Arabidopsis thaliana: one gene and its partners. The protein of the gene in region 3 interacts with the protein of the main gene of each other region in a biochemical or structural test. Each region holds a gene or a part of one and is shown on either strand. Other genes may lie near its edges.

Region 1 (6,287 bases), on a different chromosome or scaffold from region 3:
TTAGGAGTTGCGAGGCCGGTTTTTCGGTTACCTTATGTGCCATTGCCTCTGTCCAAAAGGATTGAGTTCGTTAAACTGGTGAAGGAAATCGGAAGGGAGCATTTTGTAGGAGACAGAGATGTTCAGGTACTTGATGATGATGACTTCATCTTAATCGGTCGATATTAGAGTCTCTTCCCTGAAGATTGGTTGTGTTTATACTTTCTTCGTTCAGTTGTTAGTTATTTAGCTGATGAGAAACTCACAGATGGATCAAGACTTCTACTTGTTGTAATGTTTGGTCTGTTACTTTTGGTGATGAATCTAATGGCTTTTGCTTACTCTATCTCTCTCTCCCTCTCCTCTCTGGATGATTGTGTTTTGTCTTTGCGTGTTTGCTCTGTTGTATAAAACGACATGATGGTTGTCTGAGGTTTGGGTCGTCGGAAACATCTCTATCACGGATCGGCATATTAAGCAACGAAATTTTTTAGTTGAAAGTGATCATGGATATGTATGTTAATACTTGGTACATGAAAAAGAATAATCAAAGCTTTCATAGAAGAGTAAATCACCCATAAATCATTAGTTTGATTTTATTTTAGTACCATTAAAGGTTGGAAAAGGAAAGAAGAAGACGAGAAGAATCAATAAACAAAGTTCACGAAGATCACTGAAGCAAGGAGGTTGAAACAGGGGAGTATTTTGGGTGAAGCAGAGCAAACAGAGCATTGTTTTCATGGTGGAGAAGAAGAGCTTTCTTTTTTAAAGCTTCATTCTCTCGTATGATGCTTTGATTCTCTACGAAAAGCTTCAAGTTCCTCATCTCCATCTCCTTCTGTTCCTTCAGTAATCTTCTCCTCCTGCTTACAATGAAAAAGAAAGTACTGTTTTATATAATTCAGAAACAAAAATAGAGTCAATGTCTGAGGACGCTTGATATATGCGGAAGATGAAATTGAACCTGGTGAGATTAAGGATACGAAGATGGGTTTGTGTCTTAGATTTATGTTTGATATGGTACGAAGCAGATCTCATAGTTGGTGTGTCAGTGTCTGGGAATGGTGGCTCTGAAGTTGTCAGACACATCTTCTTGTGGTTTTATCACACAAAACGAACTGAGTAAACACAATGGAAGAGTAAGCTTTATATAGACGATCTATAAAGCTGTAGTTGTTTCTTTTGAGATAGAGAGTGATGAAGAAAGACAAGGCTTTTGAAGGTAATGATGGCAAAAGGAAACTCATGATTATAGAGGGGCCAGAGATATGCATGAGTTCAGGACGAAGATGATGAAGAAGAAGACCAAAACAGACTCTTCTCTTTCTCAGACTCTCTGTTTCTTGTTCTTGATTGAATAGTTACTGTACTAATAGTGCAAACTTAGTAGAAAACACTTGAGAGGTACATACGTAAATCGACCATACCAAATCATTCAATTTCATACTAATTGATTACTTTAGTTGTAATCAACTACAGAGAAAGATCACATGAAATTTGGACCAACTATGCATGTACTACAATTTGATTTTAAAAAGTTAATCCATAAGCACCTTTTATTTTCAAAAGAGGCTCAAAAGAAAACTCCTTTACCTTAATACCAAACCCATTTCAAAGGTCGAAGTCTTGGATTCGCGGTTTGGCATCTCGTGTTCAAACCAGGTTTCCCTCATAATTGGGGTCTAATTTTAAGGAAAAAACCTTGGTTCCAAAGAGACATATATCTTGTTCCTATGTAAAATGAAATCTAAGCATGTGATATGAATAGTAAAAAATAAATATAATTGATCTAAGGACTAGGACCACTATAAAACTCTTACTCATTTCTTGTGTTGATATTTTTTTTTGAGATGCAACCAAATTTGAAAGACAAACAAGAAAAGAAATAAAGAAGGGGGAAGAAAACTTATACTAATAAAGACTAAATTGCAAATTGTAGGAGCTAGTCAACATCCGGAATTATTATCATGCTTCAAAATGATCAAAGCTGTTATGATTCTCTACCTATATTATTTACTATTTTTAGACTAGGCATTGTCCACCACAAACAAAAAGATGAAAGTTATTCTTCATCTCATACAAGCTAAGGCATAAAAAACACAGAAGAAGGAATCATAAATAGCAAACGATTTCGTGGGTAATTTCTGGAGTTGCTACAATGATGAGTTTTGTTTTGATGCATACAAGTGGTCCATATCAAAATCACCACGCCCCTTCATTACTGCAAGATGGTACCATATGTGAATCTCTAACTAGAGTAGCACTCCCATGCATAATGCGTCTCTATCTATGATATGTAAATATTCAAATCTTTAAGCATTATACTTACATTGTCAACCACAAAAACATTATCAGCAATTCCTAGTTTCACAGATTAGGCATGAAATTTGAAGATTAAAAGAGAATCACCTAAAGGAATCTAGTTTTTCAGTTGCCAAGCATTAGAAAAAAGTGGTGAGGACTCCAGAAATTGTAGTTACGATAAGCTATGTTATCGGGGAAGGAGCTAGTTGATGTGATCCTTTGGATTTAGGCTCAGCTAGACGTTTAGATAATAGCTTGGCATCGAGTGGTTCAGACGCAACATTATCTTTCGTCTTCTTCCTTTTGACCAACATTAGACACCGTTTGAAACAATGAAAAAGGCGGGGTACTTTGAAGTCCAAACAGTCTAAAATGAGTGTCGTCTTACCAAACTAAAAACGACAGGCTGTGTTGATAACGTGGGCTCTCTTGGGCTTTGAATATAAGTTAATGGGCTTATATGAAACCTGTATTTTCTATTTTGAAAAGAAAGTTATAAAGGACGGTGTGGACCAGAAGACACTCTTCGTTTTCTCTCCACGTGGGATATCACAGGTTCAAGTTCCAACGGTCCATTTTTTTGGGTGCAAAATTCCAATGGTCCATTAATCCACGCATTTAATCTTACGACGTTGTTTAGCATAATTAATTAATTTGAAATTTAGAACAAATAAAAACGCAAGAGAACACAAACCACAAAATGGAAACTAGTCAATTAGAAGATCTCAATATTTCGACACTACTACAAACTAACACACCAAAACAAAACAATAACAATCATCCAATTCTAAATTAACTAATAAGATTAAACGTAAACCGTAACACTCTAATTCCCAGTTTTTAACAAACAGCATCACAAAGAAATAAAAACTCGTCGAAGGAAGACAATGGCAGTCTTCGTAATTAAGGTTTTGTTTATAACAAGAGAGATGTGGCGGCAATAGTGACCAATGCGGTGAACAACGCAGGAGCGTTAACGTGAAACGCCGCGTTTTTCGCATTACTGTTCTCTGAACTTGTCGGCGAGTCTGACGGAGCTCCTTCCGGTGAAGATTCATCCACCGGTGGTGCTGGCGGAGAAGCTGCGGTTGGAGAAGGTGCTTCCACAGGAGACGGTGACTTAGCCGGGGTCGGTGTCGGTGCACTCACTGGCTCCGGTGCCGGCGCCGGCGATGAAGATTTTCCGAAAAGCTCAGCGGGAAGGAGCACATTATCCACAGTGAATATAACAACAGGTGTCTCATCGACCACCGTGTCGGCGAGTCTCGACGGACCAACGCCGGTATGGAGAATAACCTCGTCACCGGAAGTTGACGTCGTTAAATCGTATTTACCGGCGCCGTTAGTGGCTAAAGTGGAGATAGCGTCTTTGTTAGTCTTTAACGATCCTTTGGGTTTGTATTCAGCGAGGGCGTGATACTCTAGGAGCGAGACCACCTCAGCTTGTGTGAGATTCGTCAGATCTGGTACACCTCTAGCTTTAAAAGCTTCATCGGACGGTGCAAAAACCGTCAAGCCTTTTTCAACGGTGGATTCGAATGTTTTAATAACACCGCTCGATACGAGCAAATTCGCGAAGGTTTTGCAACCGGCTTTCTCGAGAAGTCCGGTGATGTTGCTAACTCCGGCGGAAGAAGGAGCAGGTGCGGTTAAGATTCCGGGAGCGATGATCGGAGCGTTGATTTCGAGAACGGAGATGTTGTAAGGGATTTGTTTAACGGATTTGGTGTAAGAGGAATCGAGCTTGGAGCCAGGAGCGGCGGAGCCAAAGCCGACTTTGCCTCCTTTGAGATCGGTGACGTTAACGAATCCTAGGTTCCCGAGAGCGTGTCCGGTGGTTTGGTAAAGCGTGGTGGTGAGAGTTGTGCCTTTAGAGAGCTGATGGAGTTTTAAAGGATCGTAGTAGTCGAGGAGGACGAGGAGGCTGAGAGCATTTTTGACGACGGAGAGTGGGTGTTTTCCGGCGAGGGAAGACATTGCGCCATTGTTGAGAACAAGGACGGTGATTGTAGTGCGGCTGTTGATTTCGTCGGCGAGTTTTGTTTGAGAAAGGTAGTTGTTGAATGAGGAATATTCCGGCGTATCAGAGAGGATTTGAGTAATGTTATGGCCGGAGACGGTAGAAGCTACGGTGAGGAGAGATAATGTGAAAGCGAAGAGAGTGAAAGCTCGTGATGTCGCCATTGGAATTTGGAAGGTTGAGTTGAACTGTGGAGAAGAGAAAGTGAGAAGACAAAGAGAGTGATGAAGTTAATAAGAAGAAGAAGAGGTTAAATGTTAACCATGGTTATATTGAAGAGTTAACTATGGTTAATTTGAGAACACGTGCTGCTTCCTTTTGCTAAAAAGCCTGTAATCACGAAAATGGGTGGGCTTTGAGCTTCTTTCTTTATGGTTCGTCCTCTTCCAAAAGCAACCGAACCGAACCGTTATATCATTATCAATTTATCATCCTTGTTAGAGTTAACCATGGTCAAGTAGCTAACTAAAATTTGAGCTTATTTATGGATGCTCATTAGATAATCATCCAAAATTTTGTAAAAGGCACTCAGATAAAAAGGATTTAGATATTTTTACTTGACAACTAGTAATATCGTTAGTACTTAGTAGACTCATAAATAAGTGTCGTTATCAGTTTTAAATACTTGGTCAATAGTTGGTAACATCTTTTAGAAATGGAAAGAAGGTTCTAATTGCCCGACACAGCACTGATAAAGAAATTATTATTTTTTATAAAAACGACAAATCAAAATACGTAGTTTACTACTGTCATGTAAAAATCTGCAAAAGTTTTATCATTTGATTAGAAAAAAATAAAATAAACCTTCACAAATCAGTAAACTATTACTCCGTATTAATTAATGGGCGGAGATGAGGCTTTAATTCCTTACTTTGAGCCCAATTATGAGGCTAATAACAATGTGTGAGCACGTGTCACTCTTCAGCTTCACATGATTATGTATTGGGCCTGTAATAAGCCCAAACTTCGTAAGCTGGTCAAAAACAACGACGAAGAGAAAAAGCTCCGCCGCAGAATCTGAGATCGGATCTTTAGAGAGAGAGAGAAAGATGCAGAGGGACGTGTCGAGCTGCAACACTTACAACTATGGAGACGCTCTCTATTGGGACGCTCGTTACGTGCAAGACGCGCTTTCTTTCGACTGGTACCAATGTTACTCTTCTCTCCGCCCTTTTGTCCGCAGCTTCGTCTCTACTTCTTCACGAGTCCTCATGGTTGGCTGTGGCAACTCCCGTAATTCTCTCTCCTTTTGCCAATAGATTTGAAGAAGTCTGTACCAGTGATTGAATTTGACTTGAGCAGCAACCAAATTTAATACACTGTGATTGCCCTGTTCTTCTCTTTGGTGTAGTGATGTCAGAGGATATGGTGAAGGATGGGTATGAGGACATCATGAATGTTGATATCTCTTCAGTGGCTATTGAGATGATGCAAACCAAATATGCATCTGTTCCTCAGCTCAAATGTAACACTTCTTTTCACATCTCTAGTTTATATTACTTTAGCTTTAGAAATATGTAAAGTAAGAAGCTTTATCCTATTATACTCTGTTTTTACCCAACAGATATGCAAATGGATGTTAGAGATATGAGTTACTTTGAAGACGATTCCTTTGACACTATTATTGATAAAGGTATGTTGTAGCAACCACCAATTACTCTGTTTTTATGGTGAAAAGCTTAGAAGTGATATATTGTTACCTGTTGTTGCGGCTGCTGGATTGTGTAGGAACCCTTGATTCATTGATGGTACGGAACCTGATCTTTTGTTTCTCGTGTTCATGTCTACATGTGTTTTTAAGTTTTCTTGTTTTGTGTGATACGGTGGGTTCCAGTGTGGCAGTGATGCTCTTCTAAGTGCTTCGAGAATGTTGGGTGAAGTTAGCAGGTCACTAATATCATCATGGCTGCTCCTGGATCATCTCATATAGATGCCAGTTTTTGGATTCTTTTTTAATATATATATTCTCAATAAAACTCTTCTC
Region 2 (7,267 bases), on a different chromosome or scaffold from region 3:
AGCCCATTAGTTTGTAGTTTTGAACAGCCTTTGCTACACAAACAAGTCAATAGCCCCACTTGTGAGTTGTGAATAGTTTTCACTACTGACTAATTATCGTAATTTTATAAGTTATTAGGCTCACTGAACAACAAAGTCGTTGTAGTATAGTGGTAAGTATTCCCGCCTGTCACGCGGGTGACCCGGGTTCGATCCCCGGCAACGGCGATTTTTTATTTTTTAAACCTATAGTAGTGTCCTTACCATTTTTTGAAAGTCATTTAGAATTTGTATAAATTGTAAGAGCAATGATCAATACGTAAGTCATTTAGAATTTGTATAAATTGTAAGAGCAATGATCAATACGTAGATTTATTCAAAGTTGCCTTTCTGATGTTCATGATACTTCTTTTTCTATCAATCTTAGCTTTCTTAATTTGCAATAACTGAAACATTCGTTTGCTCAATAGTATAAAGAAAGAAAAACACACACAGTTCAATCAACATTTTCTCCTATAATCTTGAAAGTATTATGTTATTCAGAATAACTTATTCTGTTATTATTATTCTTTTGGTGTTATCTTGATTTCTACGAAAACTCACAGATGTTCTTGATTTTATATTGCAGAGTTGTAATATTACTTCCAAGAGATAAGATTATATGAAGAGCAACTGCAGAATATAATTTGCATAAGTTGAGAGTCAAAGATATTGTAACATCGTAACTCAAACCTATAACATATTGACCGATATCAAGATCTAGGTCTCATAAATAAGAAGTGAGGAAATATAATGATTGTGAAAATTGAAAACCAGAGGTCCATAATTAATTCTGACGTCAGATGATGATGCCTTGCATGGTCTTCCAAAGAGATTTGGAGTAATCATAAATCGGACATCTCTAAAACTGAGATTTCAAAGTTGACTTCGAGTTTGCCTTGTTTTATGATATATGATGATTATTCATTTCGGCCAATTATATCATGATTGTTCTTCTTCGCCTCAAATTTTATTTTTCACACAAACACTTGAGTTCGATGCGACATCTTCCTTGTTTTTCTAGTCTATTTTTGTCGAACACATTTTGATATGCAAGAACATACCAAATGTTACTATTGATATTGCATCCGTATTTGCGATGTTTAAAATATGTGTTAAGTATATCCAAAACTTTTTGTCTATTTACTCATTACTTGTGGGAATTTTTCAAGTTAAAGTAAATTCTATTAAACTAGTATAATTATGACAGGATATAGTTACACATAGTTGACAAGAAAAGCTTATACAAGCAATTAAAAAAAAATGCTGACAAATAAACCTAGCTAAACATTTGTATGTCTATATACTCCTTACTTTATTTGTATTATTATAAATATCTATTTTACGGGGTTTTTTTTGCTAAAAATATAATTTTTATTATTCACTTATATTTGTTTTCCCATATTTCCACGAAATAAACTAAAGGACACATTGATGTATAACAAAATTAAAGGACACATTAAAGTATAGTGCTCCAATATTGGTATATCCTTAATTTAATAAGGTTTTGTTTATCGACCTCATATGAAGAATTTGATTTGTCATTATAAAATGTTTAGGAAACAAATTATTTTAAATCCAATTTGAAAATATTCAAGTTTTTATTGAAAATGTGAAGAATTGAAAAAAAAAAAGAAAAAAAAAATGTGAAATGACTTGATGTTTAGAAAGTAGTTGTAGGAAAAATAGAAGTCAAATAAAAGAGCAGAGAACTCGTAGTTTAGTTTTTCAAACGAAAATGAATAGTTTTTTGACTAATACTATATAATAATAACTTGTAGGGGTGTGTGTGATGGCGTCACATAGAATCCGAATGAAAAGCCCCTTGTCTCATCTCTCTGGACAGAGCCGCTTGAATCTCATGTCATGACACCTTCTGCCCTCCTTTTTCTTTTATTTTCTAAATGGAAAATATATATTCCAAACGAATATTGGGAAATTATTTAGTTTTTAAAAATTTAATTAATTAGTTAACATTTTATGCTCAATTCATCCATCATAACAAAAAAAAAAAAAAAATAGATATACACATTTAGAGAGTGACTGGAGTTTATAATTCATATTCAAACCCAAGAGTGTGTGTAAATTTGACGTAGCATCAATTTTGGTCTATTTAAAGCTATAGTATTCTGATATTATCCATTCTGAGGTTTTATCCAGTATTACTGTTGTTGAAGGAAATGATTTACATGACCAATATTATCAACAACTGGTTTGAACCATAATAATTAAATTGTTCAGATGCACATGGCATAATAATTAAATCATTTCAATTTAGAATGTTAGGATAAAGCTTTCATTGAACTTGCTACAACACATGTAGACTATATATACACAAACACTACTATTAATATTGTTTTTCTTCCTCATTTCCTCTACTCTAGTCTACTTGAAAATTACATAGACCTATTTATACTTAAGAAGTGTTTGCTAATCCTGATGAATAATTAGTGTCAATTCAACGATTCAGTTTCCACTTACTGTCTTACTCGATCGGAAAATATCATGGACAAAATGGGTCACTTTTGTTTTTGTATGAGATGATATATCAATATTGAATGCGTTTTGTATATGATTATAAAAATCGAATAACTTGTCCCCATGTTATATACGATACATTAGTTGATTGATATGCACTTGACAATATTTGATAAATGGAGCAAAGGTACAAAATGTTAGTCCAAGAATCAACCATATCCTAAAGTCCCCAACCCCACACCAGAGGATCTTTAATTAACATAGAAAATAGAAACAAAAGTAAAAATATGACTGAGAAGACTAACAGAGAGACACTGTCTTCTTGTAATAAAACAGAATCTTCTTTTCATAATAACTACTACAGTGCTCGATACTACTTATCTTCCTATAATACACCAAACAAAATAAAATACTTCCAAAAGGTTGGGTCTTCTTTTAATCTTCTCCTACGTACGGATTCGAGATCTCTTGCTCTAACGTATTCTTGATTTAAATCAAGATTGTCCAGAAGCAGAGCTTGATTTGTTGTCATTGTTTGATCCATTGTTAGAGTTCTTAGTTTTGGAGAGTTTCTGTTTGAGTTGAAACAAAAGCTGTTGGTTCTCTTGATTCAGAAGCTCAGCTTTCTTCCTTAGTCTCTCGTTCTCTTTCATTATGTAACAGTTTTCAACAAACAGCTTCGAGTTTAGCCTCTCCATTTCTGCTTTCTTGCTACAAGTAAAACAAAACAAAAGTATTATTACGAATTTTGAAAAATAAATGAGAAAAAGAGAGTAATAATATCAATAAAACCAAAGCTTGTGTTATGATTATTATTGTTCATGTTAAATCATTACATCACACATGGGTTGTGCAGCTTCACACGTCGGATGTGAATTACATTAGCTATAGGAAAAATCATTTGTCGCATTTATTTCGTTTTCATGTGAATTTCTTTTTCTTCTTTTTATGAAATCAATGATCAAAGAGAGAAGAAGAACATGATTATAAATTTGTATGGAGGATAAAAAGATAAAGCTAATAAAGAGAAAGAAATTGAAGAAAAGAGATAAAAACAAGTAATCATGATGATATATATGCAGTAATTATAAATGTTTTAACCTCTATGGACAGAGAGAGTAATGATTATATTTGAAACGCTAGAAAAAAACAGAGTAAGCAACAAAACAAAGATGGTGATCGTAGCAATACAGACTATTAAAAAGAAAAATCAAACAATTTTTTTTATTTATTTCGGTTGCCTCAAAGAAAAAGATAAAGATTAAAAACTTTCCATCATTGAGGAATATTTTAAAAGATGAAAAAGTTTTAACATAGAAAAAGAGAGAAATTAAGGGTTTGTCTTCACGTTAGTTGTACGTGTGACGTTACTACATAACTATTATCTTAACGTATGAACGCAAAAGCGATAGATAACAGAGCAAGAAACAGAAACAGAGCATGTCGAGAAAACTCACGTTAAGCTTCTAGAACAGTAAGAGAGTGAGAGAGAGAGAAGGAGAATAGAGGTTATACCTTTTGGGAAGGAGTGTTGAGAAGCAGAGATAACGAAGAAAGATTGAGAGAGAGAAGAGAGACGCTAGTTTGTGTGTGTAGAGAAGGTAGAGGGACAAAGAGAACAAAGTGAGACACTGTCTGTTATATAGATCCCCAAAAGCTAAAGAGAAAGAGAAAGAACCTTCTCTCTCCTGACACAACAATCATGCATTGTGTTGTGTTTCTGCATAGATGGCGGCCGCAAGAAGAGAGAGAGAGAGAGGAGATTTGTGCATATTGCGTCATGTGAATGATGATGATTTATTAAAGAGAAAGAAGTTAGAGAGAGAGAAGAAAAAAAAAAGGAGTTTTCTTGCTTGCTCTTCTTTCGAAATTGATCTTCAGGGATATTTTCGTAATTTCCGAAAGATCCCCTAGCACTTCCTTTGGCTCTTCATCGTATTCGTCCTCTAAACAGAAGATTCGGTTAAAAGAACTAGAGTAAGGGTATTTACGTCATTACGAAGGAAGTAGTACAGAGGAGGGTAATATTGTCATTTGTGTAGGACTAATGAGAGGGGCTATAGTAGAAGAGGCCATCGACCTCTAAAGATTCGCAATGATGGTAAAGATTGGTTCGAACCATCATCCTTCATGATTCTATTTCAACCGTTTTGGACCATTTTGTAAATGCTCTCTTTCCCCATCTCATGTCCCGGTTAGCTCAATCTTGGTTTAGTTCAAATATTACACTCCACCATTATTATGTTTTAGATTATTATTTCGGATACAAATAGTTTCCTTTGTGTGTTAAACTATTTGTTACTTTTTTCTTTGTATGAAAATCATAGTATACCACAATTTGAAAATGCATTTTTTTGTCCTCTTATATTGTCTCAGCATTCAAGATTTGATATAATTATGGTGGGAGAAGAAAAAAAGAAAGAAATAATGAAGAAGAAGAGTGTTTGGACTTTGGAGCCGTAAAACCTACAAAAAATAATCATGGATCAAAAGTGTTGTAGAACGTGAAACATCATAAACAGTGAGGTGGTTGTTTTTGGATGTATTTATGACTTCTCTTTTTTTCGTAACTTCACATGCCTTTGAATAAAACTCGTTCGTTTGCCCATGACTTAACCCCCAAAAAGAAGATGACTACAATTTCACGTTTATTTAAAACTACTTTGGCTTGTGTATATAAATCTTGTACGGCTTCTTTTAACCCTTCTTTCACGGAATAAATGTGAGAAATTGTGTTTTTTGTAAATATGCTGATTGTAGAAGTTAAACAAAACTGAAACACAATTAGTATTAAGTAGGTGTGTCTTGAAATGGAACTAAAGAGTGGGTACACTTGCTTACACCAAAGGCAATGATTTTAAAGGTGTGAGCAGCTTCATTTCTTGCTGGCCTATGCAATGCCGTTTCTACCCCTCATTGCTTTGGTCTAAGTTTGACAATTCGGTTTGGTGTTGATTTTTATTTATAAAATGAAACTTTAATTTATAAATATAGTTGGTTCTAGGATTAATTTTGGTTAATCATAACCCAGTCGGACCAATTTTCACACCCCAAAAAGGTTGAAAACTTTGTCTCTTTACCATGTAAATTTCAAAAACCTAAGAATATTCAAATATTCGGTTTTGGTAACCCCTATTAATGTAGTAAATGTTTGGTATAGAATATTAGATTACCATTCAGAGAAACTATATTTCGCTTTTATTAATTAATTGGAATTTTCTAGTTATTTTCTCCTTTGTTAATCTAACCTAATCTTTTTTGAACTTTATAATATAAACACAAACGAATTAAAAAAATATACCGTAATTTAACTGATTAAAAGTCTATATAAGTTTGTGTTTATATGACGTATATTTCATTTTGCTACGTACTACTGTATGTATACATTCATGTTGTATGATGGAGCATGCCTCTTTTGCACAAGAAAAGTACTGAAATCTCTTTATTTGAAGGAGTCCACATCCACCTCGAAGGCGATGTGCGCAGTGGTTCGATTGCTATACCCGAGATTGATTTACCGGCGATTGATGTCGCATCATCTGCTGCGTCGGTGGTGGCGGAAGAGTTAGGTAAATCAAATCTCACATAAATGATTCTCTGTTCTATTCTCCATTCTTCGTTCTTCTGATTGTTTTTTTAGGTTTTTGGTGGTTAGATGTTTGCGCCAGACGATTCAGAATTCATAAGGTGTAAAGTGTGTTCATATTAGACTGCATGCAAACATTATCATTGCACATCTTAACTTTTAAATAAAGGACTACTACAGATGTTTGGATGGACTACTACAGAAGTAATTTTCATTTAAATATGGATAAATATCGACGCTCACGATTCAACAAGCAAATCTAGTTTGATATGAATTAGCAATATGCAAAAAGTGATAAGGATTTGAAAAGTTGAAAAGCAACAAAGAAAATATAACAACTTAAAATATAAATGAGATATAATTCTTAATTGACTTGGTATCAAAACATTTGTGTCCTGTTTTGATATTGTTGTCAATACTCAATACTATATATAAGTACTTTTAGTATCTACGATTCTACATCGACATTTAACATATAATCTTATAGAATCAATGATGAGGAACAAGTCCTAACCACATTCAAGAATACGAACCGAGGGGGTCTAAATCTTACAAGATGAATCGGCTAAGAGACTGGTTAACCAAACCGAATCCTTTTCAACCGACACATCATCGTCGTTCCTGTGCCATTCCCAACGTGCATGAGTCGCATTCTCGACCACCAATTGACCATGCCCGAAACTTGCTTCTCTAAACAATGATATTTCGGGATTTGGATCTCTATACCTATGATGATTATCAAAAACATTAACATTTAATTAGTTTCATTTTCAAATTTTGTTTATAAAAAATCTCATTTAACGAAGATCTTACTTGGTAGCAAGGCCTTCTAGATTCCCACCATCTCCGATGTTAATATAAACCGGACCACATTTGTCGAACTTATCTTGGTACACTCGACTCTGTCAAATAAACACACAAATTAGCTCTATATATATAAAAAAAAATCAATGCAGTTTTTTAATGAAACCCTTTAGACTTACAAAACGCTCGTAAGCATGAACGTGACCTGCAAAAACCAAATCGACACGAGCTTTGTAAAGAAGAGTTTCCATGGATTCTTTCATCTCCACACTCTCTTTCTCTCCTTGGTGAGCTTCGTTGGAGTTGTACCAAGGCGCATGCACCACAGCCACAACCCACGGTGTGGTCTTACGGTCGATTTTCTTGAGATTATTTTCTAAC
Region 3 (10,979 bases):
CTTTCTACGGGTTATGTGACTCAATGGGCTGCAATGTATCCTCAGAAGATTGATGCTTTGTTTTACGCGCATTCGATTGATGAAGTTAAAGCACTTGGTCCTTTGCTGGAGAAGTTTAGAGGTACTGTTGGTAAAAAGGCTTATATCGCGGTTTCGGGTGGGAAGTTCTGTCCGTGTGAGGATGCGGCGTCGGCTTTGAGGTGGCCTAAGGTTGTTTGTAAGGAGAGGAGATTCAAGATTTTTGATTTGGAAGTTGGGGCTATTTTGGGTGTGTCGAACTCAGAGGTGCCTGTATTTCAAGCTGTGTATTCGAGCATGAAAGGGCTTATTAAGATTCATAATCCAAGCGTGGTGATTACGGTAGCTGATGCTGATCCGAATGTCAAGAAAGCTTTGAAAATGGCTACCGAGACTAATTCTAATGGCACCGCATTGGTTCTTCTACCGAGAGCTTCTATCTCCAAGGTTCTCTGGATGGCTGATCTAAGATCAACAGCATTGCCAAGTAAGTATCAACTTTTTGCCTTTAATATAGCTTTTCCAGTTTTAATTTACCGAAACTGACAAATGTCTTGATTTCAGACTGGAATAAGATGAGAGTCTCAGTGAACATCATCACCCAAAACCGAGCTCAATCTTTATTAAGATTGCTTAGGTCTTTGAGCAATGCATACTACCTTGGTGACGAAATATCACTCAGCTTCAACATGGATAGCAAAGTGGATGAAGAGACGATCAATGTAGTGAGCACATTCGATTGGCCTCATGGACCAAAAACACTAAGAAGAAGAATCATCCAAGGAGGCTTAATCCGTGCTGTGAGCGAGAGTTGGTATCCAGCTTCTGATGATGATTTTGGTCTCTTGCTTGAAGACGACATTGAAGTCTCTCCATATTATTTCCTCTGGATCAAATACGCTTTACTTGCTTACCACTACGACCCTCAAGTCTCTTTCCCTGAACTCTCCTCGATCTCTCTTTACACGCCCAAAATCGTTGAAGTTGTCAAAGAGAGACCCAAATGGAACCCAACAGATTTCTTCAAGCAAATCCATCCTCACACACCTTACCTTCACCAATTACCATGCAGCTGGGGAGCCGTTTTCTTCCCAAAGCAATGGAGAGAGTTCTATGTCTACATGAACATGAGATTCACAGAGAACGCGAAAGCTAACCCGGTTCAGATTCCGAAATCAAGAACCAACGGTTGGCAAGCGTCATGGAAGAAATTCTTAATCGACATGATGTACCTGAGAGGATACGTTAGTCTATACCCAAACTTCCCTAACCAATCAAGCTTCTCAACCAACCACATGGAACCAGGAGCTCACATCGCAGCTAAAGACAATGTGGTGAAACACAACAAAACCGATTTCGAAGTTCCATTGCTTATGGATGATTTCAGAAACTTCTTACCGAACCAGAAACTCCCTCCGCTTTCTAAGCTTCCATCACTCAATCTCTTCAACATGCCGGTTTCGCTTAAAGGTCTTAAAGCTGCAGGAGCTAAGCTTGGTCAAGATGTTCTTCGTTGCAACAATGTCTCTGAGATTGTCGCCGTCAATCATCAGACAGGTTTACCGGCTAGATGCATGAAATTCTGAAGGTAGTTTTATCTAACGGCCAAATAAATAAAAAAGTTATTTGGCTGTGATTTTTCTTTCTTACATCTGTGGATTCTTGTTGATTCTTTGTTTTTTGAAATAGTTTATATTACTAATATATAGCGAGAGATGTGAAAATGAAACTGTCAAATGCGATAGAAAAAATGTTGTAAGCTTAGTTTTAACAAAATTATCACATCATTCCCTTTATATATAGAGATTGATCAACTCTGCTTTTTTCCCCAAAACATTAAAACCAAATACGTTGTGAAAGAAGAAAGTGAGTAACATTTGATCAAAATAATTTTAAAAAACAAAACAGAGACACCTAAACAACAACCAAAAATTTGAGTTCTCTAACGTAAATTTAAATTAGTCTTTTTCTGTCAATCGAATCACACAAAAGACCAGTTTACAAAGGAGAAGGCAAGACAATGCAGATTGTTGTTGTTTTCTTCAGATGCAGCAAACACTTTCCAAGCAACAGCTTGTTCATAACTCACATGTCTTCCCATCGTTGACACACAGATTCCTGAAGGCAAGCAAGCAAATCCCTGTAGACGCAAAGATAGTTCTCAGACAAATGAATCAAAACCATTTATCTGCAGATGTTTTTGTTTTGGTTCTTTACCTGTTGCATTAGCTTGGCGAAGTCCGAACAGATAGCCTTACGACCCGATTCATCGAATATCTTTTCGAGTGTTATATCTTGTAAGGCTACAAGTGTTGTCTCTAGCATGTCTAGACCAGCTTGGTTCGCAAACATGAACACTGGCTGTGGCTGCAACATATCCAGACCATATTATACGTCTAAAACTACAGGTGTATTCTGCTTTTTGTTTGGTGTAGGACACATACCTTTAATGAGCAACACAGGATGGCATCTTGGTGATCCCATAGAAGTTTTAGTACCGAGTCGTCGCTTCCAAGTGAATCAATCGTCAGCAACTCCGAGCCTAAGTGATGACTGGAAAAACAAACATATCAGCATAAGGCATCATCGATAAGTTCGAGGATTATAAGAAAGAGACGAGAGTAAACATTTACACCCCCACCTGTAACTTTGAGAGATCCACTGAGCAAGAGTAACAGCTTCAGGAGATCCTGGGGACAATTTGGAGCCCAGACTCGGGCTTATCCCAGACGGTGAGATCGCCATTGCAACACGTTGAACTGATGAGATCACGCTCCTCACATACTGACAAGCCATACCAGCAACATTTTCTTGCAAGTTGTTTTCAAAAGGGAATTGAAACGCGATAGTGAGAATACATCTCGAGCTTGAGCTAGAAAAAGAGTTTCCAGAAGCATTCTCAGGTGATGGACCGACTTCAAGGCTAGAAGTTAAGTCTAGTGTACGGTGATTAGCGGTTAACAGATCTTGTACATCTCCCTGTATGAGTAAGAAAAAATGAGCCTTGAAACAAACCATCTCTAAGTAAAAGAAAAATCAGTGGTACAGCAAAGAAGAGTACCGTTTTAGCATCAACGGGTATGACTCGGAATCCAGAGGGAACAAGTGGAGCATCATCCGGGAACATCTCATTAATCGGAGCAAATATCAGTTCAGAACAAGCTCCAACGGCATTCTCGTCAATCCCGGTACAAATCTACCATAAATCATTAAGGTCAATTTTAACTTTGAAATGGTAAAAATTTCAAGATCCATTGGGTTAGAACTTAGAAGTGATATACCTGAAGGAGATGGACATCCCGTGACATAAATGCATCTTCTTGAGCAAGAGAATGACCTTCCAGTCTAACAACTTCTAGCATCTAAACATAACAAAACCAAATATATATGTAAGAGAGAGACATAAAAATGATGTTTTGTCGGCAGGTAAAGACTTTGAAGCCTTACTTCTTCGTGTTCAATTGTATGTCCTAGTGGCATTATGATCTGACTCCCAGTGAATCTTGTTGGTCTCATTCCCGGATAAGCAAAGCTACCAGCTTTAAGTGTAGCAGCGGAATATGCATCAACATTGAAATCAGCCCACTCAGATCGATGCTCTCTAAGGAACCGGATCAAAACCGCAGGAGGAACATTCTACAGAAGACAATAGATAACACAAATTTCAGCCATAGAAAACTGTCAAAAGAACACAAAGTACCAATACTGGACACACTAACTTACTTGGAGAAGCATTGAAGCCTTGGCACAGAGCACGCCTCCAAGGAACGAAAGAGAATTAGAAATATTATTCAAATGCTTTGTAGAGTTAATAGCAACGATAATATCTTCCGCTCCATCACAATGCATCGTAGACCACCCGTCGTCACCAAACCCATTAACCGCATCATTGAAGCCCCTTCAAGAAAACCAAGAACAGAAAAAATGACAATGAGCAAACAGAGCAAAGAACAATTAGGTTTTAGCTCAAGATCGAAGTACCTGCTTAATCTTTGGCTAAAGGTTCTAAGAACAGCAGGCTGCCTTCCTAATCCATACACTACTTCACCATTAGACTCTTGGGCTAATTGCCTGATATACCGCAACGCCTAAAACATGAAGCACCTCCAACCGTTAGATATGTTATATGAATCAATCAAAGCTTAAGGTTATTATATGTATACACTCACGGAAATGGTCATTTTTTGTGCAACGACTTTGGATGACTCATAAAGGGGTCGAAGCACATCCGGAACACTCCAAGCCTACAATGCAAGAACAAATGTTTATAATCAATTCTTCTAGAAATTCCTGAAAACACACACAAAATGCCACATGTGAAGATTTAAGTACCTCAAGATTAAGGTGATCGACAATGTGAATAATAGAACCACCACCATCACAAGGCCTTATTAAATACCCACTAGAAAGCATTTCTGCTCTCACAAACTGAGAAGCTGAAGCAGCATTAGGCCCAGCTCCAGAGCCAGATAGCGACCTCTCACAAACCTTTTAAAGACATATGAAAAACATCAAGATCCCAGAGTTTTTCTGTAAACACTAGACATTATGAGAGCTGCATACCACAAAACTCCCATTGTCGAGGCTCGTTGTGTATCTCAGGGTCCAGAAATCGCGGGCAGGAGCCAGAGTCGTTGGTGCATACGTCTGAACAAATGTCACAACTTTATTCATTCATCTTCAAGTGTTAGAGATAGAAAACTAAACCAGAAGAGGCTAAAGGATTCACCTGCATATAAACAAGCTCGATTGTGCCACCATTACCAGCCGGGAACATAGTGAAAACTTCAAGGCTCCTACAGTCACGGAACCAAGATGGCCGATCTTTGAGGATCTCTGCAATCTGTAAGAACACAAAAAACCCAAACTGGTTGAAAATGAAACATTATGACTTGTATCTTTAGCAACGAAAAGAGTGTCCCTTTCTTACCTTCATAGGTTCTAAGCTAACAAGACCACAGGCTCGAGCTGCCACTCCATTGCATCTTTGCGAAATGGCAAAGATGCCAACCGAATCCGGACCAGGCTACAACACACAACATTTCAATATTTCACATATTGCCATAGATATCAACAGATAAAATAACACTTAAGTAATGATACGAGATGCGTATAACCTTCATCCCAGGCATCTGAACCCAATCAACAGCAGTTCCTGTAGCCTTGGATAGGAACTCTGCCAAAGTCTCCTCTGCGATTGAGAGCAATCTAAGACCAAAACCAAGCAATTAGGCAAAGAAAAAAGATTAGAAAAAGGTTACTTCAAAACCAAAAATGAAACTTTACCCAGCAGGACTATTCGCATCTCTAAGCGAATGCTGAGGAGTTGTGACCACAGATTCACAGCTTGGATCGTTAACCTGAAGTTAAAACAACAAGTCAGTAACTTTATAACTCAAGCTACATGTTGAACTGATAGGAGTAACAAATGATTCTTTAAGAACACATTTGACAAAAGGAAATGTTAAGTTACATACAACAGTAGTTAGCTGCTGTTTCATATATCCATTTTCGCAGACAAGCTGAGAAACCTGCTTCTGCAACCTATCATTCTCCTCCATCAACAGTTTATTCATCGCAGAGAGCTTCCGGTTTACGCTCTGGAGCCTCGACGCCTCTTTCCTCTGCTTATCTCGACACCTGAAACCACACAACAAAACGAATCAACAAAACTCCTAAGATTAGACACCAGATCAGACAGTAACCATATCGTCACAAGAACAGTTACACCAAGCTATTGAATAACCAAATCTACCAGACAGATTCAAAGGAACCCTTTTGTAAAAACAGGAAATTGTGTCGGAGAATTGAATTGAAGCATCAAATCTTGAAATAACAACAAAAGTGGTCCTTCATATCCATTGAATATAACACACTAAATCCAATAGAATCAAATTCAAAATCCTTAATTAAAAATTAATCCTGGCCATATTAAAGAGAAGCAATACCTGCGGTTCTGAAACCAGACTTTGATCTGCTTAGGCTCAATATTGGCCAAAATGGAACATTCACGGATCAATTGTTGTCGACGGAGAGAGCTAGGCTTAGGACACTCAGCGTAGACACGCTCAAGAGCCTCGACTTGCTCAGCTGTGTACCTAACGTACTTACCGCTACTATCTAAATGTCTATTCATACTGTCACTGCTTCTCTCACGGTGGTTAGCCACCGCCATCTCCATTTTAGCTCGACCCTCAAAAAAAGTCTCAAACTTTACTGTTTCTTCTAGCTTCTTCTTCTTCTTTGGCTTCTTCTTCTTTTCTCTTTAAATTAATTTCTTCGGAAAGTCCGTCGTATCGTAAGAGAAACGTAAATTGTAATTCTTTTCAGACAAAAGAAGATTCTACGGTCGTGGCTTGTAGCGAAAGACCAACGACATGTGGATACGAGAAAAATGAAGGCAAAGAAGCGAGTACAAAAAATAAAGTTAAAAAAAGTTTTAAAGAAGAGAGATTCAGAAGATCTGAGAATTTTAAAGATTCTTCAAAGAGAAAAACAGAATAAAGACCCAAAATTACAGAGTTGGATTTTCTGGGGAGAAACAGAGAAGAGTACCCCAAGAAAGTGATGATGTCAACTCTCTTAAAGAAGCATTATATCAGAAGAATTGAAGGACACAGAAACCTTAGGAACAATGAAGAAGAAACCCAGGTACAATTGAAGCTGCAAAAGTTTTGAAGACTCTGAACGAACAACACTAAAGGGCAATTATAGTTTCAAAGGAGACTTCAAAAAAAAGAGAGAAAGAGAGAGTTTGGTTATGTGAGAAAGTGAAGAAGGAGAGAGAGATAGTAAGTGATGTGTGTGTTTGCTTCTGCTGAACTTTGGAACAGAGGAATAAAAGAGGAAGAGAGAGAAAGAGAAGAAGAAAAAATTGTGAAACAGAGGATTTGCACGCAAACCGACAAGCTGTGCATCAGCGAAAAAGAAAAGTGGTGCGTTTTTTTCCTTTTTTCTAATTTAAATTTATTTGTTTAATAATACGGCTATCATTTACGAAGTTGTCCCTACTGTTTTTCTGAAATGACAATATAGGAATCCATCTATTTACTTTTCAAATTTTCTTCAATTCTTTAAAGAAGTTTTAGTTACCTGATATCAGCCAATCACAACATAAAAAATATTTTTCAAAAAATTGTAAGAAATATCTAACGCCTACATTACTTTGAAAAAAAAAAAAACTATGAAACGCTTCATGCATTTTTTTTTAAGTGTTATAAAAATGACATTTTTCTTATTTAACAGATATGTTTTTACTCTGTTGATGTGTTTTTTTTTAAGTTGTCACGCTTAACATTTATGCAAAATTATTAAGTATTGAACATCAGATATGTGTTATTAGATGGTATTGATCCAATATTTAAACTCAGTTAAGGTATATACTATCCATACCATAATGAATATCTTCTACGGAAAAACTAAAGTAAGAAATATCTTACAATGGCTAAGTTAAAAGAACTATCGTTTAATATGGCTAACATTTTATTTTAACATTACACCAAAAAGAAAAAACTATCATCATTGTTATGTACTATAGGGTGACTAATTTTTAGGGTTGTAATCGTATATTAATTATTGATGTTTTAAAAAATGAAGTTATGCACGGGTAGTAATTTTAATTAAGAGGAAGACTTATGTTCTCCGATGAAAGTTTTAATCATTAAAAAAGTAAAAGCGAAACTCGTCTATAAGATCTGGTCGTCTCGTAAAGTTATGCTATTGAAGCTGTGCTTGTAATTAATTCAACAAGATTTTTGTTCAACTTTATTATTAACGATCGACATGCACCATGCTTCAATGTCGTTAAGGATATTTAGAGTTGCAAAAATCAAGAATTAAAATTCGACATTATTGAACGCCAGAAAAGAAGAAGAAAATCGACGTTATTAGAAATAAAGAAAGCCTATGATCGCTCTCTGTCTCTGACATAATCATTTTAACACATCAAGCAATCAAAGTTATGTCTTGTTGCAAAACACATTCTCTCACTATCCCTTTGTGGTAGTGTTTTATTTGTTAGCATGTCTTGTCTTCATTTATTAGACGAACCAAATTTGTAACATCTATCTAAATATTTAGTCCAGATTAAACTGTTTAGGTATAATTAATACACTGTAAATAGTTATTTCCAAATTATAGCTATGGTATCAAAGAGTAGGACCTTGAGTGAAAAAAAAAAGGAAAAATAATAGTGTATGTAAGTAAGATACGAATGGTAAATTTGATTTTCACTTCAAGGATACACAGTATAGTTAGGTGTGATATGTAAGAACCACCAAAGAGTGGGCTAGTAATCAGAAAGAGGTGTTTAAAGCCTAAATGAGCTAGTTACTAGTATTAAACTATCTGATTAAAGCAGTGAATAACTTTAATGTTGTGAGCTACAATTTGAAAAAGAAAAACTGAAAAATGAATCAGAAGACAGTGATCAGTCAAACAAAGTGATACGACTAAACCTCTTCGACAATTTTTTACATATCATGATGCTGCCTTTTTTCTTTCATCTGCAAGTGTAATTACTTTCTGTAAAAAACTTTTTAACCTTCTTTTAGTTCCAAATTTAATACCTTTTTTTCTTTCTGGTTTTTTTCTTTAAGTAGATAGTAATTTCACATGTCCTTTTGTTTTAACAATTATAATTTCACATGTCATGTATGTTGGACACAGTTGCTCCAACATCTTGATACGTACTAAAAGATAAATTTAGAAATTGCGTAAATGACTAGCCTCTCAAATAACACAAAATCAACCAACAATTACAAACACTCGATATAAATGATACACAAAAGGGTCAAATTTACAAAGGAAGATGGTTGCTCGCACATGGCTTTTTGATACACACGATATTAGGTATGTGTTTTCTTCTTTTTAAGAACCGAGAAATAATCTGAAAAATGAAAACCAGTAGTTAGTAGTTACAATTGAATTCAAAAGACAAATTAGTCACGATGACAATATATCATTTTCTAATACAATTAATGATTAATTTGTCAGTTTGAATACAATTGCACTATACTTTAAGTGTTCCCATTTGAATTTTCAGAAATTTGGTTTCCTTTTGTTGGATCACCAATTCGCAACGAAAACAAATTTACGAAAAATTGCCCAAAAGATTTTTGTTTTTTTTAAAATGAGAGAATGGAAAAGAAATAAATAAAAAAATGGTTCCTTAAATCCAGACAATCTGCGTCTCTTTTATGGCGCGCTCAGGTAGGGCCCACCTTTCCCTTCAGTCTTCAATTATCCGTCACCCATCGCCGCACTATTTTCTCTTCTCTTTTTATTTATTTATTATTTTTTGTTGTACCACATATCTATTATTTATGTCCAAATTCTTTTCTACAGTACATGTTAATCTAAGAATATATTTATTTATCTTTCATTTCATTTGATACATATGTTGTGCATTTAAATACTTAAAACTCTGAATAATAACAGTAAAATAAACTGTGTGAAAAAAGAAGAACAAACAAAACTACTACAGTAAATCAAATAAAACTGATACAGCAAAAACAAATTTGAAAGATCATGTATGTGATATCTATCAAATGTCACTTATTAAGAATTACTATGTTTAAGCCCAAAATTAATAAGAAAAATGTAATTTGTAACAAAATTAAATGTATTTAACGCATTTTTATTGTTCAACCATAAAAATACACAATTTCATTCTCTCTCGTTTTTGGCTCACACATTTTTTTATTTAATCAACCATACTCAATTTCTATTTAAGCAAGTTGATTTGGTAATAAGAATTTCAACTTGCCGAAAGAAAATACATTTTAAGATCATTTGAACACAATTTTATTTTACTTTTTCATTTGAGACCATTTCACTATTTCAGTATAATAATATAAAATGAAAAGTTTTGACGATGTGGTATTTCCATCAGCTTTTCGCATGCGCCAAAAGTAACTCTCACGTGCTGACCACACATTTACACCCATTTATCTCTTTATTATAGTATAATTTTAGTAGTAGTATTCAACTGATTTTGTATCAGATTATAATAACTTTATTATAGAATTAACTTATGTATTTTGTCATAATTATTCATATTATATAATCAGTCTGTATATAATCAGTAAGATTCATTCAAATAGTGCACAATAGGTAAACAGAGCTGAAACAATATTAGTAAATATATCAAACTTACTGATTGTAGTTACACAATCTAAACAACTGTTTCCAAAATATTGTTTTGATTGTCAGTAGAGTTCACTTGATCATAATATGATTCACCTATGGTCAAAATAATTGTATGATCTGATGATCTGTGAAGTGGTATGTTTCTATTAATTAGTTGAACTAACTAGCTATATCTTTTTTCCAAGATTTGTTTTATGTATATGAATCTGATTGTTACTATCATTCATAAATCTGCTGCTTTTATGGGGTTTTCATTTGTCATGATTTTCTAGGTTGATTCAAACTTTGAGACACTTGTCGTTAGTTATGACTGAATACTGATAATGATACTAATTCACAATTTCACATTGTAGTATAGCGACCCATGTGCTTGATTCTTTCACAAGCGACAAATTAAACAGTTGGAAAAATAGTTAATTAAAGATCGACTTCTTCCTTTTAACTTCCGGTTGAAATTAGTCTTTTTGCTCACAATGATTACCTTATTTTATTTCATAGCGTCTACTGATGAAACCATTATTCTATGTATGTTCTATTCTTTCAAATTCTATAAAAAGATCATGCGCTATATCTATGCATGTGTATGTGTAACAACACGACAAAAAAAACTCAAGAAAAATAAACTAGAAACCTTAAGAAACTGTTAAATAAATCCAAACAATTTGTTAACATATCCAATGGATCATTATTGACTGCTTATCTCACCATTCCACATTCGGCTATATGCAAATTATATACTTTAATGTCTTTATGAAAATAGAGTTAAAATATTCCTTTAAGATTCAGCACTAAGCATATCCTAAGCACAAATC
Region 4 (6,542 bases), on a different chromosome or scaffold from region 3:
CTGGTGAAGGAGATTGGACGAGAGCATTTTGTGGGTGAGAAAGATGTTCAGGCTCTTGATGATGATGATTTTATCCTTATCGGTCGATATTAGCATACTTTTTTTTTTTTAATTTTTGGTTCCTTTTTGTTTGGTGTTAATGAAGAAGAGATGGTTCTATCATTTGGTTTTATGTAGCTGATGAATGAATGAAAACTCAAGGAATGATTTCATCATATTTCTTAGCTTGTTTTGGTCTCTGATCGTTATGTTCTGCTTTTATACTCTGTTTTACGGTTGCCTCAAAGGAGGGAGATAGAAACGGCACGCATGTTTGATAATATTGTTTGAAACAGCATGGCTTTGCCATCTTGGAACGGTCACGGCATCGCCATGTGAAAATCATTAATTTTGTTGGATACTCGGAATCCAAAAATTTAATATTAAGGTGATTTTCTACGTTGTTTGGGGTGCCCACGTCACGTGAGATGTTCGTGCCAGCTGTGTAAATTTCTCCTCCATTGAGATTAAAAAGATTAATATCCAAAACTTTGAATAAGAAAGTAGATTAACCATTATTTAACAAAAGAACTCAGATACAAAGATTACAAAGAGATGACACACTAAAAAGAAGATAAAAATTAGATGTATACCCACTAATAATAACTAAACCCTTGCTTGTAAAACCCAAATTTTTCTGTTTTTTTTTTTCTTGGAGCCTTGAGATCTTATTATTATTTCAGTAAAGAAAGAAGAATATGATGATCTTAGTGATTGGTGATGATGGTAAGATTTTATTTATGGACAGAGGAGAGTTTTTTGGTCTGAAGCAGAGAGAAGAGAGTTTTGTTTTCTTGGTGAAGAAGAAGAGCTTTCTTCTTAAGTTTCTCGTTCTCTCTTATGATGTTTTGATTCTCCACGTAAAGCTTTAGATTGATCATCTCCATCTTTTTCTCTTCCCGCCACATCCGTCTCCTCCTGAAAAAAAGGAAAAATAATAGTGATTCAGAACGTAATTACATAGTCGATGAGAATCTCCTAGAGGGGGTGTATATATGATGATGGAGATTGAACTAACCTGGAGAGACGAGGGATACGAACGTGACTTTGTGTTTTGAGGTATAAAACTAATCTCGTGGGTGTGTCTGAAAATGTTTCTGAAGAACTTAAACACATCTTGGAGCTTGAAGAGAGAAGAAATGAAGAAGAGAGATAAGTGAGACGTGTTTGATTAATGGGTGAGATATAGAGAGGCGTTATATAGATGAAAGAAAGTTTGTTGTGAGTTTTGTGTTCCCTTTGCATTATTCGTTTAAAGAGAGGAGAGAGAAGGCTCCTTTAGAAGGTAATGATGGCAAAAGAAGAATCATGATTACAAAGGGACAGGGAAAAATGTGATGAGGGAGAAGATGAAGTTGAAATTTTGAGAGGATGAAGAAGAAGAACATGTATCACAAAAACTGTCCTTTTCTTTCTCTCTCTCTATGTATATCTTATTTGTTTTTGACTGATTGATTAGTTAAATGTGTACTATTTGGAAGAATTTAGGAGGTTTCCCTAAAAAGCTCAATTCACCGTTAAAAGGTACGTACACACGACATAAGAAACTATTCAATTTTGGTTTATAACTTATAATAAGTTTTGTTTGTTTGTCAACTTAATTACATTGGTGACGGTGGCATGAAGGCTTAAATCAAGGTGACAGTTTGTCAATTCTGCGTAACATTTGGCTATATTGATACCTCAACAATTATACTTTACAAATAAATTCGTTCATATCTACAAAATGCTTGTAGTAGTAATTTATTCGGTCGGAATGCGCTCATACAAATATTCGGTCAGAATGCGTTTACGGTTAGACTTAGACATACGTATCCCTTTTTGTGTGTTCTTAACTTCAATACCGTTACACAATAACAATAAATGGTTCTTTTTTTGTTGACAAAGTAAATAAATAAGAAAGTGGTTTTATACCGTCTATGTGACAAGATTAATCCAAAATTACTACAATAAAAAGGATAGGATTCATATATATGCTATTCGACAATTATCTGAGTTTATGAAGTGATTTGGCAGATTTCTTTGACTGCCAAAAGGTCAAATCATGATTATTTAGGAGCCAAAGAAGTCAAAAAAGGTTTAGAGTACGTCAAAACCTCGATCTTCCTTACAAGTACAAGTGTTTCTCTTAACTTTTTAAATCACAAGTCTTTGTCTTTTTATTTCTTTTTCTTTCATTTGTGTTTTCGGTTTACTATTTGCTTTTATGAATCCTAATCCCAACAATACCCTTATTTTTCAAAAGGGGAAAAAGATTACGTACCCGAGCATCCAAGGTAGAGAGTATAAATCAAGAATTTTCAAACCGTTGAAGTCATATCTAATGATGGTTAATCATTCCGTTAAATACACAACAAGACTTAAGTTCTAAAGTTGATTTATAATTTACTTACACCCATGTGTTGTCGTTGTTCCCTGTCCAATAGTTTCTTCTACATGTTGGATGAGTAATCTTAAGATTTTTAACTAATGAACACTCACTTTTTCTTTTCTTTGGGCAGTAGACTAAATTTTTAACGATAACACAGATAACTTTTGTTTTGGTCATTAGAGTTTATGGTTACGTGTTAGAATAATATGTTTATTTCAAATGAAATCATACTAGTTAAACACTTTTTTTTGGTAAAATCTATAAATTATATACAAAAACATGCAACGCAAAGCAACGGTAAGAAGAGGGAATCATGGCTCGTGATGGGTCACGTGAGATAGCGAGGTTTTAGGGAATGGTTTCTGAAACATCGAAGGAAGAGGAAAAAGTGTAAAATGGATACTACCGAATCGGGTGCAGTGACTTTACCAATATACGCAAATCTATATTTAATTTGTATATACATACATACATGTAGTAGTAGTAGTATTGGAAAAAGTCATGGAGTACTCGAGTAGGAGAAGAAGCAAAAGCCAAAGCACATTTAATTTGGAAAACGAAACCACCGATTTGGCTTCTTCTTCCCACAATCATCATACCCATTTGCCATAATAACCCCCATTCCCCACTCGACGACGATGGATTCATTCATCATCATCATCATCATCAACCATCATCATCATCATTTGCATTATGAATTTTGTGGGCTATTTTTTCCACTCTTCAATGCTCAAACCCAAATTCCACATGCACATGCCCAATCCCCTTCCTCTTCTTATAGCCCAATCAATAATACTCTCCATATTCTCCAAACTACAAATTTATTTTTTACCAAAACTATATTTACCATCTTGTATTTCTTTAAAATCCAGGAAGAAAAAACACACTTTGAAAATAGTTTCATGTGGTACATGTATAATATAAAGCTAAAAAACTCATAACCATTCAATAGAAATAACAAGCTACTCATTGACAAAAAAAATAAAAATAAAAAATCTACTCATTACATGTATTGATGATATATATGGAGAAAAAAAGAGAGAATAAATTGATGAGGGCAAGGACTAGGACCACTACAAATTCTACTCATTTCTTGTATTGATATATTTTCATAGAAACCATAATGCATAGACAAACTAGTAATAAGAGTCATCAATGGAATTGGAGGTGATAGTCAACACCGAAATGAAACCCCATCCACGCTTCGTTCTAAAAAAGTGTTCAAAACTTGTTATAATGTTGTTATAACTCTATTATTATATCAACTATTATTTATAGCCATCCTTTTGAGTATCCCATAGACAACAATGGATCTTCTCAATCAAAGCTAAGAATTTTTACCACTAAAGAGATCATAAAAATGACAAGATATTGATTAGAGTTTGAAGGGTAAGTTTTGGAGTTGCTACTGTTTCCAAAATGATGAAATGGTTGTAAAAGGAGCTTCTCTTCCTCCTTTCACCATCAAAGCCTCTCTTTTAATTTCAGATTAACCATTGATGATTCCTCTGACTTACTCTTTCCGCTGTCTATTTTTAGCCCCATCTCATCTCTAGCTTAGCCCTCTCCATTCCTCTTTCATTCAATTTTGATATCATTGCATCACATTATGGAAATACTTTGTTATGAAATAGACACATCTTAATCTTTCAAAAATTTTAATCACTTCGTTTAGCTCTGCATTCCACGCCAATTACAACTCGTTTTGTTACAAACCTTACCATTTGACCTGCGTTATCTACACCCTACTTCTAATGTAAACGACAAAATGAGCCCGGTGTGTGCGAATACAAAACAAAGAGGGATTTGGAAAAGACTGTAAAATCATGAACATGTTACTCATAATAAGATCTTGAAACGGGAATCATGCTAAGTAGCTTTATCGTCTTCGTCCATGGTGTCCACTTGTTTCTTCTGATCCCCATCAACTTCATGGCTTCTTTCTGTATCAGGATCCGACGAGAGTGATCCCTTGTCATCATTCATATCAGAACCCTCTGTATCAGAATCTGAGACAGGATTGTGTTTTTCCTTCTCATGATCATCATCAGAGTCAGAACAACTCTCTGTCTCTGAGTCCGAACGAGTACCATGTTTTATCTTCCCTTGATCAGTGATCCCCACTGGCTCGTTAATAACTCCACGCTCTGCATCATCCTTGTTAGTGACCAGGACCCCTGGACTTGTCGGTTTAGTTTGACTTTCCCCTATCTGACCAGCAGAATCCTGTACTATGGTCACTTCCTTGATTTTTTGAGTCTGACTCTCTTCATCTTCTCTACTTCTTTCAGTTTCGTTTTCTCCATGTACAGAAGGATTCGTGCTATTAGCCCAACTCCCCGCAACTTCAGAAGCTAGAAGATCCGACGTCCCTATAGTACCTACTCCCTCTATGTCTTGAGTATCCCTTCGATCGTTCGGGTTCCTTAACAAGAGAACAGCTCCTTCAATCTGAACACTTTCATGTACCTGAGTTTCACAATCTATTTGCATTGTATCACCAGCTAAAATAATAGACTTCCTCAGATGATCATTTCTCTCATAATCATTTCCTGGACTTTGAGTTTCATTGACTTGCTCTGTTCCTACAGGGTCTGTTCCCGAAGTGGGTGCTGTACCAATACCTTCTATATCTGAGCCAAAGCCACCCTTTGCAACTTTATCAGAGCTTGGATACTCTGCTTCTTGGGTGTTTTGGCCTTCCTGACTCATGATTTCACAATCATGCTTTTGGGTAGCATCTGCATCCTCACATGACGTATCCACAACTTCATTTCTGGTAGACCTTTGCCCTGAAGTGGACGAGCTTGCCCTGGCAGCAAAATTCAAATGGGAAGTTGCTCTTTTATCTCCCTGCGTATTAGCTCTGTTGGGACTTCTGTTTATTGGATTAAGATCAATATCTAGTGAAGTATTGTCACAATTATCCTCATCTTCTAGAGTTCTCTGCATAGTCTTGAGCTGTTCCTGCTGCTTTGCAAACAAAGCCGAGATCTCCTCAGTCGTAGAATAAAATGCCCGCATCTGAGTTTCACTGCATGAAGATTCCGTGTGTCAATAGTTAGACCAATCAAATTTGCGTGAAATGAATCTTAATAGTTTAAGGCAACATTTTACTTGACGGTTGAAGGTGTTAAACAGAAAGTAGGTTACCCAACCAATCATACACACTAGAAATAGCAGCCTAACGTTATTATACCATGCATGCAAATGTTCTTACCGGAGCATGATTCTTTCCCTTGCACCACGGTGTCTCTGTCTTTCGACGTCAAGGTCTCGAACAGCAGCACTTATCTCTAGTTCTAAGGCAGACACTTTCGCCCATGCTTCTTCTCGAGCTGCCTGCTAACATAACAAAGACAGTCTCAGCTTAAAAATACAATGGAGACTACGCAAAAAAAGATTTTAGCTACATGTCCACAATCGTTAAATTAAAAGCATGGCATCATATTTTCGTAGCAGAAATCAGAGGCGGGAACCAGAAGCATGTCATTAATGGAAAACTGGGAAAAAAGTTTAAGGCGCACAAATTTGTTTCCATTCTTACCTTTTCACTGTCCAGATCCTTTTGCAGTCTTTTTACTTGAAGGTCAAGTTCTTCCAGTTTCTGCTCCAAAAGATTTTTTGTGCACCCGTTAGAACAGAAATAAAAGAGAGAAACCATGCAGAATAAGAGGGAAATTGCATTCAGGTCACGTACTTTTTGTGCATCAGCAAAAGCAAGCTGCTCCTCAGAAACTTGAGCTTCTAGCAGACGGTTTCTATTCTCAGAACACACCAACCTCTGCCTTGTATCTTCCTATAAAACACCACAAAAATTCTCAAATGACAAATGGTAAATAATTTGAGTACAAGTTTTTGTGATCAAGAGGCTAATTGTGAAATAAATTAGAATAACATACCAATTTTGACATCAATGTTTCGACTTGCATTGACTTTTCTTTCTCTGACTCCTAAAATATTTGCCAAGTAAACTTGTCTTATTCGAAGGACATAATAATGGGAAAAATTAATTCATACACAACTAAGTCTTTACATACCTTCATTTTGTTGATTACTTCTTGTTGTTCCCTCTCGTGTCTCATAGCAGCATCAGAAAATCTTTTCAATTCTTCCTGAGCTTCAATTTGGC

What was found.
Region 1: the proteins of REV (region 3) and ZPR2 form a complex in vitro, tested with the Arabidopsis thaliana proteins (one study listed by BioGRID).
Region 2: the proteins of REV (region 3) and ZPR3 form a complex in vitro, tested with the Arabidopsis thaliana proteins (2 studies listed by BioGRID).
Region 4: the proteins of REV (region 3) and ZPR1 form a complex in vitro, tested with the Arabidopsis thaliana proteins (one study listed by BioGRID).

Annotation. Positions count from the first base shown.
Region 1 is NC_003074.8:22,496,375-22,502,661, forward strand, and holds ZPR2 (binding protein), read right to left. Parts: upstream 1,102-6,287; 5' UTR 1,069-1,101; coding exon 944-1,068; intron 846-943; coding exon 650-845; 3' UTR 501-649; downstream 1-500. Other genes in the region: DHDPS1 (dihydrodipicolinate synthase 1), read left to right, coding at 1-168; FLA10 (FASCICLIN-like arabinogalactan-protein 10), read right to left, coding at 3,199-4,467; AT3G60910 (S-adenosyl-L-methionine-dependent methyltransferases superfamily protein), read left to right, coding at 5,353-5,536, 5,655-5,768, 5,868-5,936, 6,032-6,051, 6,138-6,190. UniProt on the Arabidopsis thaliana protein: Competitive inhibitor of the HD-ZIPIII transcription factors in shoot apical meristem (SAM) development. Acts by forming non-functional heterodimers. Part of a negative feedback loop. Essential for proper functioning of stem cells in the SAM.
Region 2 is NC_003074.8:19,554,901-19,562,167, forward strand, and holds ZPR3 (binding protein), read right to left. Parts: upstream 4,424-7,267; 5' UTR 4,012-4,423; intron 3,208-4,011; 5' UTR 3,195-3,207; coding exon 2,991-3,194; 3' UTR 2,616-2,990; downstream 1-2,615. Other genes in the region: PAP20 (Purple acid phosphatases superfamily protein), read right to left, coding at 6,625-6,808, 6,896-6,984, 7,066-7,267. UniProt on the Arabidopsis thaliana protein: Competitive inhibitor of the HD-ZIPIII transcription factors in shoot apical meristem (SAM) development. Acts by forming non-functional heterodimers. Part of a negative feedback loop. Involved in SAM development and lateral organ patterning.
Region 3 is NC_003076.8:24,392,954-24,403,932, reverse strand, and holds REV (Homeobox-leucine zipper family protein / lipid-binding START domain-containing protein), read right to left. Parts: upstream 6,953-10,979; 5' UTR 6,200-6,952; coding exon 5,967-6,199; intron 5,659-5,966; coding exon 5,496-5,658; intron 5,379-5,495; coding exon 5,305-5,378; intron 5,227-5,304; coding exon 5,136-5,226; intron 5,045-5,135; coding exon 4,949-5,044; intron 4,862-4,948; coding exon 4,748-4,861; intron 4,666-4,747; coding exon 4,582-4,665; intron 4,507-4,581; coding exon 4,351-4,506; intron 4,263-4,350; coding exon 4,188-4,262; intron 4,107-4,187; coding exon 4,000-4,106; intron 3,917-3,999; coding exon 3,742-3,916; intron 3,655-3,741; coding exon 3,466-3,654; intron 3,381-3,465; coding exon 3,300-3,380; intron 3,215-3,299; coding exon 3,080-3,214; intron 2,998-3,079; coding exon 2,660-2,997; intron 2,572-2,659; coding exon 2,463-2,571; intron 2,386-2,462; coding exon 2,236-2,385; intron 2,159-2,235; coding exon 2,000-2,158; 3' UTR 1,738-1,999; downstream 1-1,737. Other genes in the region: AT5G60700 (glycosyltransferase family protein 2), read left to right, coding at 1-505, 583-1,604. UniProt on the Arabidopsis thaliana protein: Probable transcription factor involved in the regulation of interfascicular fiber (cortical cells) and secondary xylem differentiation in the inflorescence stems. Required for lateral shoot meristems (LSMs) and flower meristems (FMs) initiation.
Region 4 is NC_003071.7:18,732,775-18,739,316, forward strand, and holds ZPR1 (binding protein), read right to left. Parts: upstream 1,568-6,542; 5' UTR 1,285-1,567; coding exon 1,058-1,284; intron 958-1,057; coding exon 774-957; 3' UTR 501-773; downstream 1-500. Other genes in the region: DHDPS2 (dihydrodipicolinate synthase), read left to right, coding at 1-93; AT2G45460 (SMAD/FHA domain-containing protein), read right to left, coding at 4,280-5,444, 5,631-5,755, 5,958-6,017, 6,111-6,209, 6,313-6,363, 6,451-6,542. UniProt on the Arabidopsis thaliana protein: Competitive inhibitor of the HD-ZIPIII transcription factors in shoot apical meristem (SAM) development. Acts by forming non-functional heterodimers. Part of a negative feedback loop. Essential for proper functioning of stem cells in the SAM.